Linked DNA regions of Neodiprion lecontei. The protein of the gene in region 1 purifies or fractionates together with the protein of each later gene. This does not show direct contact. Links are inferred from orthologs where the notes say so. Each region holds a gene or a part of one and is shown in the gene's direction. Other genes may lie near its edges.

Region 1 (4,931 bases):
ACGAGCGCTTTTATTTTGATCAAATTCAATTTCTTTGAAATGTAGAAACGTTGTTATCACGTCGAACTCGACCTAATCTGGTCTGCGTTTATTTCGTTCTTCTCATTATCCGATAAGATTTAAGTATTTTTTAGTTGTGACGTGAGTTCTCCCCAAACGGTTAAAAAGTATGAATTACCCTTGAAATTTTGTTTCAAATCTAATTGTCAACAACAATGCATCGAATGTAAAATTATTTAAGAAAAGAAGTAGCAAAACTGTTGGACCAGAGTTTAAAAATACTCAAACATCCATTATATAGGAGTAAAAGTTTTCAGCTAGTAAGATAAACGTTGACATGCGTGAAAATAGATCACGCGTGTTTTTTAACGGATTTCACGGTAAAGTGCCAGAGCAGTGAACTCAAGCAAGATTGGTGTAAAAATCCGACCCTGCGCGCAGCATATTCTGTACCAAATCAAATTTAAGCCCTGAAAAGTGTCATTCTGTGTGGCCGAGACCGATCGGGACAACCCGGTGATGCGCACTGAGCGTGAGTAGATATTATAGCCTGAAATTTCCACATAAGCATAACGAGGGAAGAGGATGCTTTCAACGGTGATTCACCGAGCCAGAGGTGCGACTCGAGCACGCATAGAGTGCAGTTTTTCAACTCTAAGTGATAGGGTATCACACAGGCGCATAGGCAACACCCGAATTCGACTTAGACACGACGGTAGTGCGCACGCACACGTCCAAGGCTGGGATCCGGCGCGTGCGTGCGTGCGTGCGTACGTTGGTACCCTGCACGAACGCGCGCGCGCTCGCAAGTGTGTAATGTTTTTGCTCGAGGGGAAATGGTACCGCGTGTGTGGTCCGAATTTCCCCTCACCCCGTCCTCTCCTCTACGTTCGGGCACCCCGCCGCGCCGCGCGCACCGAGCGCCAGCCGCCGCCACTGTGACCAGCGCATATTGCGCTCAAAGCGCTGAGCGTTGCCTGGCAACCGGTGACGCCGCGTTCAGTTTGGACCAATCGGAAAACACCCGATTCGATCTCGGCTACGCTCGGTTGAACTCGACTCTGACGTCACTGGTGTCCCAGGTACGTAACTAGCCATTCGTGAATGCGGAACACTTGTGAATACTTTTTATCCCTCTTTTTCTGTTTTTTTTTTTTTCTCGTCTGGCAATTTTGGTACCCGAAGATGTAGGTATAATATACCACTTCTTATTGGTCCAAAATTTTCAATGTGACTGCAAATGGACCAAAGTCACGTGAATTCTTTTAGCCACTTGGTGTGTAATTTCGTCTTCTGGTTAAAATTAATTAACTTGAAATTACCACTTCGTACGTACAGGATGATAAAAAATGTGAAAGTGCAGAATCAAGAAATTTTCTATTTCGGAGTAAATTATACCATCGGCATAAATTGCGGAAGTAACTGGACGTCTTTTGAAAATTGCCGGGAAAAAAACAATATTCTCTTTACACAGATCGAAATACTATATCGTCCATCTCGCTGAATGATCCGAGTACCCACGGTGCCCTTTGATAGTTGTACCGGTCCTGCTGACGAGCGCGAGAAAGATGCAGCGTTGTTGGAGAGGGAAGGAACCGGGAGAAAGGGAGCGGGAGGGATGATGCGGCATGGCTGCCGGCTGGCAGGGGCGAGAGGTGAGGGGAATAAGTGATAGAGCGAGAGCGATAGAGAGGTAGGGATAGCGGAAAAGAGAGGGACTGCGACTCGGGGGCCAGAAGAGAAATGTGGGACTGTGAGTCGGTTAGTACGGACTTGGACCGTTCGAAGTGCCGGTCGCGGTTAAGTTAGCGAGAGAAGAAGGAGTACAAGGCTTGGTTCGCAGCGCTTGCCGAATAGTCGTCTGCGAGGATCGGTGCAGTGACAGTAGAACAACAATAGCCGCAACGACTGAACGATAGTTTGAAATTGAAACCAGAACCGCCAATATCAGCGTGATAGTAATGAGCAGAAGTTGAAAGAGGAAAGGAAAAAGAAAAACAAAAGATTAAACGAACACGTTTTAGATCGTTACGCGCAAGCTACACGCGATACGCACCCAGCATTCGTTCTCGAAGCCTCGTCCTCGATCCAGAAAAAAGAAGATCAAACCGAGTAAGGTGCTAACCGTAGGGGTTATACGAGTTACGAATGAGGAATGAAAGCGCGAGGCTTAACGAAGAGTGCAACCTTATACCAGGAACGCGAATTGTCTATTCCTCGCGGTAGACGCGCGGCGTGAAATCGTCGCCGATCGTCTCGTGTATCAAACCGGCCTCCGTCTGACGAACTCCAGCGTAGTAAATACTCCCGTAAAAGGGGAAGGACGGAAGGAAGGAAGGAACGAAAGAGGGGAGAAACGAGAAACGAGGCGGTGCTGACTCGGGTTGACGGCATCGAAATCAGGAGCAGGGGACCGGGCCCAGTCTGTGTTTACCGACCAAGTTTCGCGGGTCCCAAACGTGACGGAGTGCGTGCGTCGATCGTCAGTGTGAGGATTCGAGCAGTTTGCAGTTTTACACTTGAATATATGTATATTCGGTGGTGCGACTGATCGCACGTAAAATTGTGCGCGAGTGTTTGACAGGGTTGTAGGGGCAGGAGGCGGCTTCAAGCTGCGGTAGTTCTCCGACAGTTAGTTTGACGCCCATTTATTAAATCCGGGTGACGGATATGACGAGGATTTTTTTTCCCGCATTTAGTCGGGGCCCGGAGAGCCGGAAGTAGGTTACTGTGAAACGCGGATAAACCGGGAGCGAGTTTTCGAGAGGGCAGATGCGTTGCAGACCATGGTCGCTCCGTCCGGTCCAACGGGGATCCTAGCGGACCACCCTTCCGGTTCTGAACGGTTACACGGGCCCGCGCCGTCCCAAACCGACCGCGAAACAGACCTTGACCAACCCTCCTCGAATGCGAGGTACACCGGAAGTACCAGACACAGGCACGAAACCGACCTTTACGTCAGGCCCAGCTGGACCGATGCCGCGATCGCTTTGGATCAGCTCGAGAAGGTAAGAAGATGGAGAAGAAATTTTGATATTTCAGAACCGTGAAACTCTAGGGTATCTGATTAGTTTTACTCTCGATGGTCCTCTCAAAAGTATCTCCGAAACCAAACATGCAATCCTGATTCAATCGTGCGAGGAGATTCTGTTGTTCAAGTTTGCACTAAAAATTCAGCGGAGCGGAAATCGGAACTTTGAAACGGGCCCGAATATAACTGTACATTCCACTTTGAAAACTCAACGGGCAGCACGAATCATAATACTGCTCCTCCTTCTCCACCTCGTCGTCCGTGACCTAAGTCAATTTCAATCGCAGACCAGCGTAGAGGTTTCCCAGACCTTTTCAAAAGCTTTTACGGGTCTTTCGAAATCGTGATACCTTACCACACGGATTGGTATGCACCCAGCGAAAATTCATGGCCTTTTACATAAAGACTTCTTTGTGATATGAGACTCATTCACATTTTTTCCTTCACTTGGTTTACTCTTCTTTTCTTCTTGTTATTCTCTAAATTTACTTTCAAACTGATATATAGGAAGAACTATATCACGATTTCCTGAAATTGTGTTATATCTACATTATAAGTAGCAGTATTTGTCCGACAGTCGAGGATTATGCCTGACTCTTTCCGTACGACATAGTTGACGCTACACGGAGAATCGAAAAATGAGTCCATTGCAACTGGGAAGGGTCAGCCCTCGACCTCTAGCACCAGCTTTCTCGCCATTCTCCTCTCTCGATCTTCAGCTCTCTCGACTTCCTGGTTCTGCATAACCAGCAGCGCCCCCCACGGCTCAGAGCGTTAGCTGAAAGATGGAATCATAATTTTCGTGATAAGCAATTGTTCTGCATACTGGACTGTACCAACCATGATTACGATAGTACAAATACAGACAATTAAATTGGGATATAAAAAAATCTCCTGATATCCTTTCCCGCCATATCCATATGTATATTCATCATAGTTTAATCTACAAAGAGATAAAAGCTCGGGTAAAAGCAAGCTTCCAAACGAACAACGACGCAATTGGCATCGTTATATGCTAACCCATCAGAAAACGGCGAACCGTTTATAACCTGATTTAATGCTCCTCGCGTATGTGTAATAATAACGCCTTGCAGTTTACGAACTTGATTAACTGTCGCACCTTTATAGGTAAACTATACTTATACCAATGTCTCCATGCGCAAGCACAACCACGTGGTTACGCGTAACGTGGCCAAGAGAAAGTACTTACATAGTATGCGTCATACGTAAAGTATAAAAGCACGATTTATGAACATGTTTGAATATATTGACGCGATGCGCAATCGCGGTTTAACTACATAAACCATGTACGTACGTATGCGCATGGTATATGTACATATGGTTCACGCATGTGTAAAGAGACGGACGTAGTACCTACATACGGATACTCTGGTATAGAATGGTCGCACTTGTCAGTTGCATCCCGTACCGTCCGGTCCCACCGAGCGTCACCTTCGTCTTCGTCTTCAGCTCTCACGTCGCGTCGCGTCGCGTCGCATCGTCTTCGGAGTCCTGAATGTGCAGCGCGTAAGATTAAAGGTGCCGCCATCGTGTGCGGCATACATACACTATAGTATATAAGTACTAATAATATATACGAAGAATCCCACTAGCCGTTCCCTCCTACGGTCATCAAGAGTCTCTGCGCATGTGCCACGTAATCTGTTATCGATTACCGACCTAACGAGATAGGAAAAAAATCTTTTAAGAAACTAGCATTTGCGCAATGTAACATTTTTGGTCAATTTGCGATAAAATTTAATGGTATCTAACAAGTCGGTTTAGAAAAAAGTCTTCCTTTTATTTTAGCTTGTTTTTAGTTTCAGACAAATGACAACGTTTGAACAAGGGTTGTCAATAAAATATTGAATTGTTTCCAAACCGTAAATTCTTATCACAA
Region 2 (4,931 bases), on another chromosome or scaffold:
CTACGAGACGGATATATTCGCGGAAACTGTGGCCAACATTGCCGACAGTATTATACATTACACAACTGTCATCCGCAGATCGGTTAAGAATCGGTTGTGACCTAGAAAGGAAAGTCCTCTTTCACACAGTTCTGGGAAAGTCCATTTTTCCTGATCTCGAATCATGAGGTAACAGTGGCATCACTGCCCCTGACGACGACACACCAAACGGAGACCCTGACCATAACGTTTTGCTGATAAGATATTGCGACGCGAAGGATGTAGGAAGCATGAGAAGCCAACAGTCCATTCGGTGAAACATATGCCCGATGCCCAGGTAGATACGCACGTTGAACGCACCTCGGGTAGAGGCACGTGTGAGGATGGAGTGGACTTGCAATATACCAGTTATCGTAGAAGTGATAGAGCTGCAAGGAAATGCGGCATGTGGGTGTGTTGTGTACACACTGTGCCTGCACACCAAATACGCTACATGACTGGACACGGTTAGAGGGATAAATCGTGGGTAATGGAACGGTGTTTATTATCAGTAAGCCCAAGAAACTAGCAACGCTCACGGCGCGGTTAGCAAGGCTAGGAGCTATCAGAGGCATCAGTAGCTTTCCGGCTGCCATCGGTGGCGCACAGCACTTCTCTGCTTAAACGACCAGTTGAAAAGCCCGCCGATTTACAATACAAGGCGAATCACCCACCTGAAACGTTCGTTGTTCCTACGGTTAATTCCTCGTGTTCAGAGCATATATTTTAGGGTGTAATAGGTTATTAATTGTACCCAAAAATACACATCGTTGTGCGGCAGGTAATCGGATCAACTCTTGAATGGAACTGCAGACTTCATGCCTGTACCGTTCAAACTATGTACATGATTTGCTGATTCTTTTTTTGATTTCATCCTAAGGTCAGTCAATCGACGGTCCAATTTTTTTACAAGATCGGAATACTTCAGACGAGCACTTCTTGTTTACACAGAAGATAGCCAACTGCTTGCTATGCACAGAGTTATGATAAGCAGTAAAATATTGCGTAACTGCATCGTTTCTCGCTAATGGTATCATTTCGTCATTTCGGAGAGAGTGCAAAGCTTAGAAAGAATGCTTATGAAGTATTAGATACAGGTATGCCTGACGTAATATCGTTAACTGTGAAACAATTTACAGTAAAAACCAAATCCAACTAATCAGTGTTCAGAACAAGTCTATGTGCAGGATGAAGTCGACATGATAGAACATTCGAATTAATCGCTGCATCGAAAACGACTGACGTTGAACGAGAAATAAAACCGAAAACGAGAAGTTAAAAAGGAACGATCGAAAAGTGTCGGTGACAGAAGGATATGAGAGGTGGAGGTGAGGGTGTTAAGGTAAGGGCCAAAGGGTCCGGAACGACTTCACTCAGCTGTTCCCGAGAGATAACTCCGGCAACAAACGGTCGGTGGAGAAGACATCCTCGGCGAAGATAGCCAGTGCTTCCTTTCAGAGGTTGAAAGTATCCGACGCAGTTCGGTTTCTCGGGGGGTTGAGACTCAGACTTGGCGAGTCGTTGAGCGGGAAGGAGCCGCGTTCGGTTTGGACCGGGTTGAGGATTGTCAGGGAGAGAAGCGGAGAGGAGAGAGAGAGAGAGAGAAAGAGGGAGCGATACGCCGATAACCCGGACGACACACGGGACTCTGGAGGCGGACGGACCGAGGAGAGCGATCTCTGTATGAGCGGAGGGACCGTGCGGCCGGCGCGAACCAGGAGAGGAGAGAGGACCGTTCCTCGGTGTGTATTCCTGTTGTACACCTGTCCTCGTTTACCTGGCTCGCCCCGCCCCGGCCAATCGTGGAGCAAACCGCGGGCGTGACGTCACACCTGGCGATCGCTCAGGGCGGGTGGAAGGGGGAAGTCCACCAGGAGTCAGCGACGTCGCCGGTCTCCGGCGGGCGGCAGGGTGGGGGAGGAGGCGAGAACCCGGTTTGGTCCGTCCGTGGCACCCAGGGAACACCAAACGCACCACGGGACATTTCCCACCACGGTTCGTCGGGAAAGCGGCAGTCAATCCAGGACCCCAGATCCACGTTGTCACAGTTTTGACAGTTGTCGGGCTGTTCGATACGCACCACGATTACAAATTCACGACGTGCGCCAACCGCCAACTTGCGAACACCCGTTGAATCCATAACGTCAGTTACACGTTAACGAAATTGCACGATGTTCGTCCACCCGGTTAAAGCTCGGAAATAATTATTATTCGCGAATTTTCCTTGTCCTTACATACCGCTTGTAATAACCGATCCGAGCCGATATAACGTACCGATTCACGGCGCGAATCTGGCACTTACGGCCTGGATCGATAATTACTGTATACATACCGAGACACATCGACTTAAGGGAAAACTCAGAGTAAAGAATTAAGAAGACCGCAGTTAATTGTCGGTAAAAGTGCCGTGTGATTGATCGATCTCGGGCCTTGTAGTATCCGCCTCGATTTCCGTATCTTGCGCGCGAATTTCAGCGGAGCAACCCGCGAACTGGATAAATGGCAGGCGATCGGTTCGTGACGACGTAGTCGGTACCGAACGCGGTGCAGAGAAGCAGACGTGATTTATCGTTACAGTGACAGGTGTGACCACAGTGTTATTCTGGTAAACGGTGTGCCCTCCCGCTTCCGGATCCACCGTCGTTCGCCACCCCTTGGTGCCAATCGGCGAACGCGGTGACAGTTCGCGGTGACCCGGTTGCCGGTTGCTCAATTCGCGACGTCCACGAGGCGCAGGGTGTGATGCCCTGGTTATGGCTACTACGCAGTGAGGCGAGACGAAAGAGGCGGACTGGGTCGGGATCGCACCGAAGCTGGGTCACACCAACGACGGACTGACCCTATCGCACTGGGTCGGGAAGATATTATGGTGAACGCTAAGATCGCGAGGACAAGATTCGAGCTGCGGTGGATATTGGTGTGCTTGGTACTGCTATCGTTCTGGCTTCCTTCCTTGGGCACCGGCCTCGCCGAGGGCTGCGGCCCCGGAAGGGGTAGCAACCGACGGATACGTCCCCGGAAGTTGACGCCGCTTGTATTTAAACAACATGTGCCAAACGTCAGTGAGAACACTTTGCCCGCCAGTGGACTTAGCGAGGGTCGCGTGTCCAGACACGACACCAGATTTCGCGACCTGGTGCCCAACTACAACCAGGACATAATCTTCAAGGACGAGGAAGGCACTGGTGCCGATCGCCTCATGACTCAGGTGAATATTCAAACCGATTTACCCATATCCGTGTCGAATTGTAAACGGTGCGATATACGGTTGGACCTGCAGCTGTAACGTGTAATCGTCGTTGCAACCACGGCATCCGGGCACACGTGGTCGGTCTCGGCGACGTCAAATCCGTCGCGTCAACCGGTAGATAGATAATTCCTGGCCGCTGTTTGGTGTACTCGCGTCATTGCAAAGATATAATTTCATATTAATGTATATGTGTCTAAGCATCGGTAGTTACGAGGAACAGCGTTCTGTAGAGCATATTATAACGTCGTATGTTTTCTTTCTTCCGCAAAAGGCATCATGGTTATCGTCGTAGTGCGGGTGAACGTTGACCGGCGCCGGGCGCGTATCTTCGATGCAACGATACTAGGCAAATATTAACCATTCTTGCACGTAATACATAGCACTTAAAAATTCACACTTGACTCGAGGTAAACCCCCTTACTTGTAGTTGTAAATGGTTTAAAATTCACTCGAACACTAATTGCGCTTGTACACACGACAGAAAGGATTCGCTGAAACAGCAGGAAAGGTGTTAATATCATGGCGATAAAAGTTTTTTCCTCTATTAGCAAGAATTATGTAGTTCCAGTTAAAAGTTGTTTGATCAGTTGGAGGAATTACCTGCACTTGTAAAACATTCGCTAATACAGCTAAAAGTAATTTGCTATCCGTACAGCGAGAAGTCTTAGTTTCCGTGCTAAAGGTTATACTTGGAAATTTATTGCTTTTAAATATTTATCCCGGTACAAATAATGATCAAGCGCTTAGGCTGTAAAACTTTCGAAACGGTGAGGCTGTACTTACCAAGAAATTGCGTAGTTTGTAATTTCTTGGTCTATCCGTCACTGTCGTATATTGATAAAAATATTACGGAATATGACATATTTTCGCAACGTTAATAGAATCCGCAAACACGGAAGACTGCAACCTGCGTCGCGAGATGTCTGACACATCGCTGAGATATCACTGTGTATACATAATGCTCACGATAGGTGACGTATGAATTTTTTTTCACCGGCGCAGACGGATGCTTAGATTTCATATGTGCTAATAAGAAGCGACGCTGCACAGTCCTAGGGCAATGTGGATTGAGTTAACCTAGTCGAAGTTGTCTAGCTGGGTCGACGTAAGCCTGAGGCCCAACTTAAATTTTTATACGAGTTAAGAGAACGGCGAAGATCGCACGCTAAGCGAGGAATAAATGGGGGAAAAACTATACCGAGTCCCTAAGTGATTGTGGAAAGGTTTATGGTAGCCATAACCAGTGTTTCATTTGACGCCTTGACGCTTCTCCAATTATACGGTAGATAAATTCACCAACCTCGTACTTTTCTCGATTTCGATCGTGTCACGAAGACCCTATCCTAGTCCAAATAGCGTCGCGAGACCGCCGCGTTTTGTATCTCGTAATTGACTTCAAGCCTCTTCCCTCGACCCTTTGAGGATCGGCACTCAGTTCCAATGAATCGAACATTCCAGCTTGGTCTCGATGAACAATCCTCACTTCTCACCGCATCGAAGCAACCTTCTCGCTTGCCCTTCGGGCTTCAATCAATGTATGGATTGATATGGATCTGATGTTGTAGCAAGGATTGAACCCCACGACGAGCATTGATGCTAGAAAGTGTCGTTAAGTGGTTGTCACTTGCTTGTGAGAAGTGACATCGCTTAAGATCGCAGTGTC

What was found.
Region 2: the proteins of protein patched (region 1) and sonic hedgehog protein A purify together in Drosophila melanogaster (affinity purification with western blotting; 3 studies listed by BioGRID). This does not show direct contact. The link is inferred for Neodiprion lecontei from reciprocal best matches to the Drosophila melanogaster genes ptc and hh.

The regions. Positions count from the first base shown.
Region 1 is NC_060260.1:39,196,872-39,201,802, reverse strand, and holds the start of protein patched, read left to right. Parts: upstream 1-1,764; 5' UTR 1,765-2,786; coding exon 2,787-3,008; intron 3,009-4,931. UniProt on the Drosophila melanogaster protein: Segmentation polarity protein. Acts as a receptor for the hedgehog protein (hh). Associates with the smoothened protein (SMO) to transduce the hedgehog signal leading to the activation of wingless, decapentaplegic and patched itself.
Region 2 is NC_060262.1:29,608,595-29,613,525, forward strand, and holds the start of sonic hedgehog protein A, read left to right. Parts: upstream 1-1,909; 5' UTR 1,910-2,884; coding exon 2,885-3,226; intron 3,227-4,931.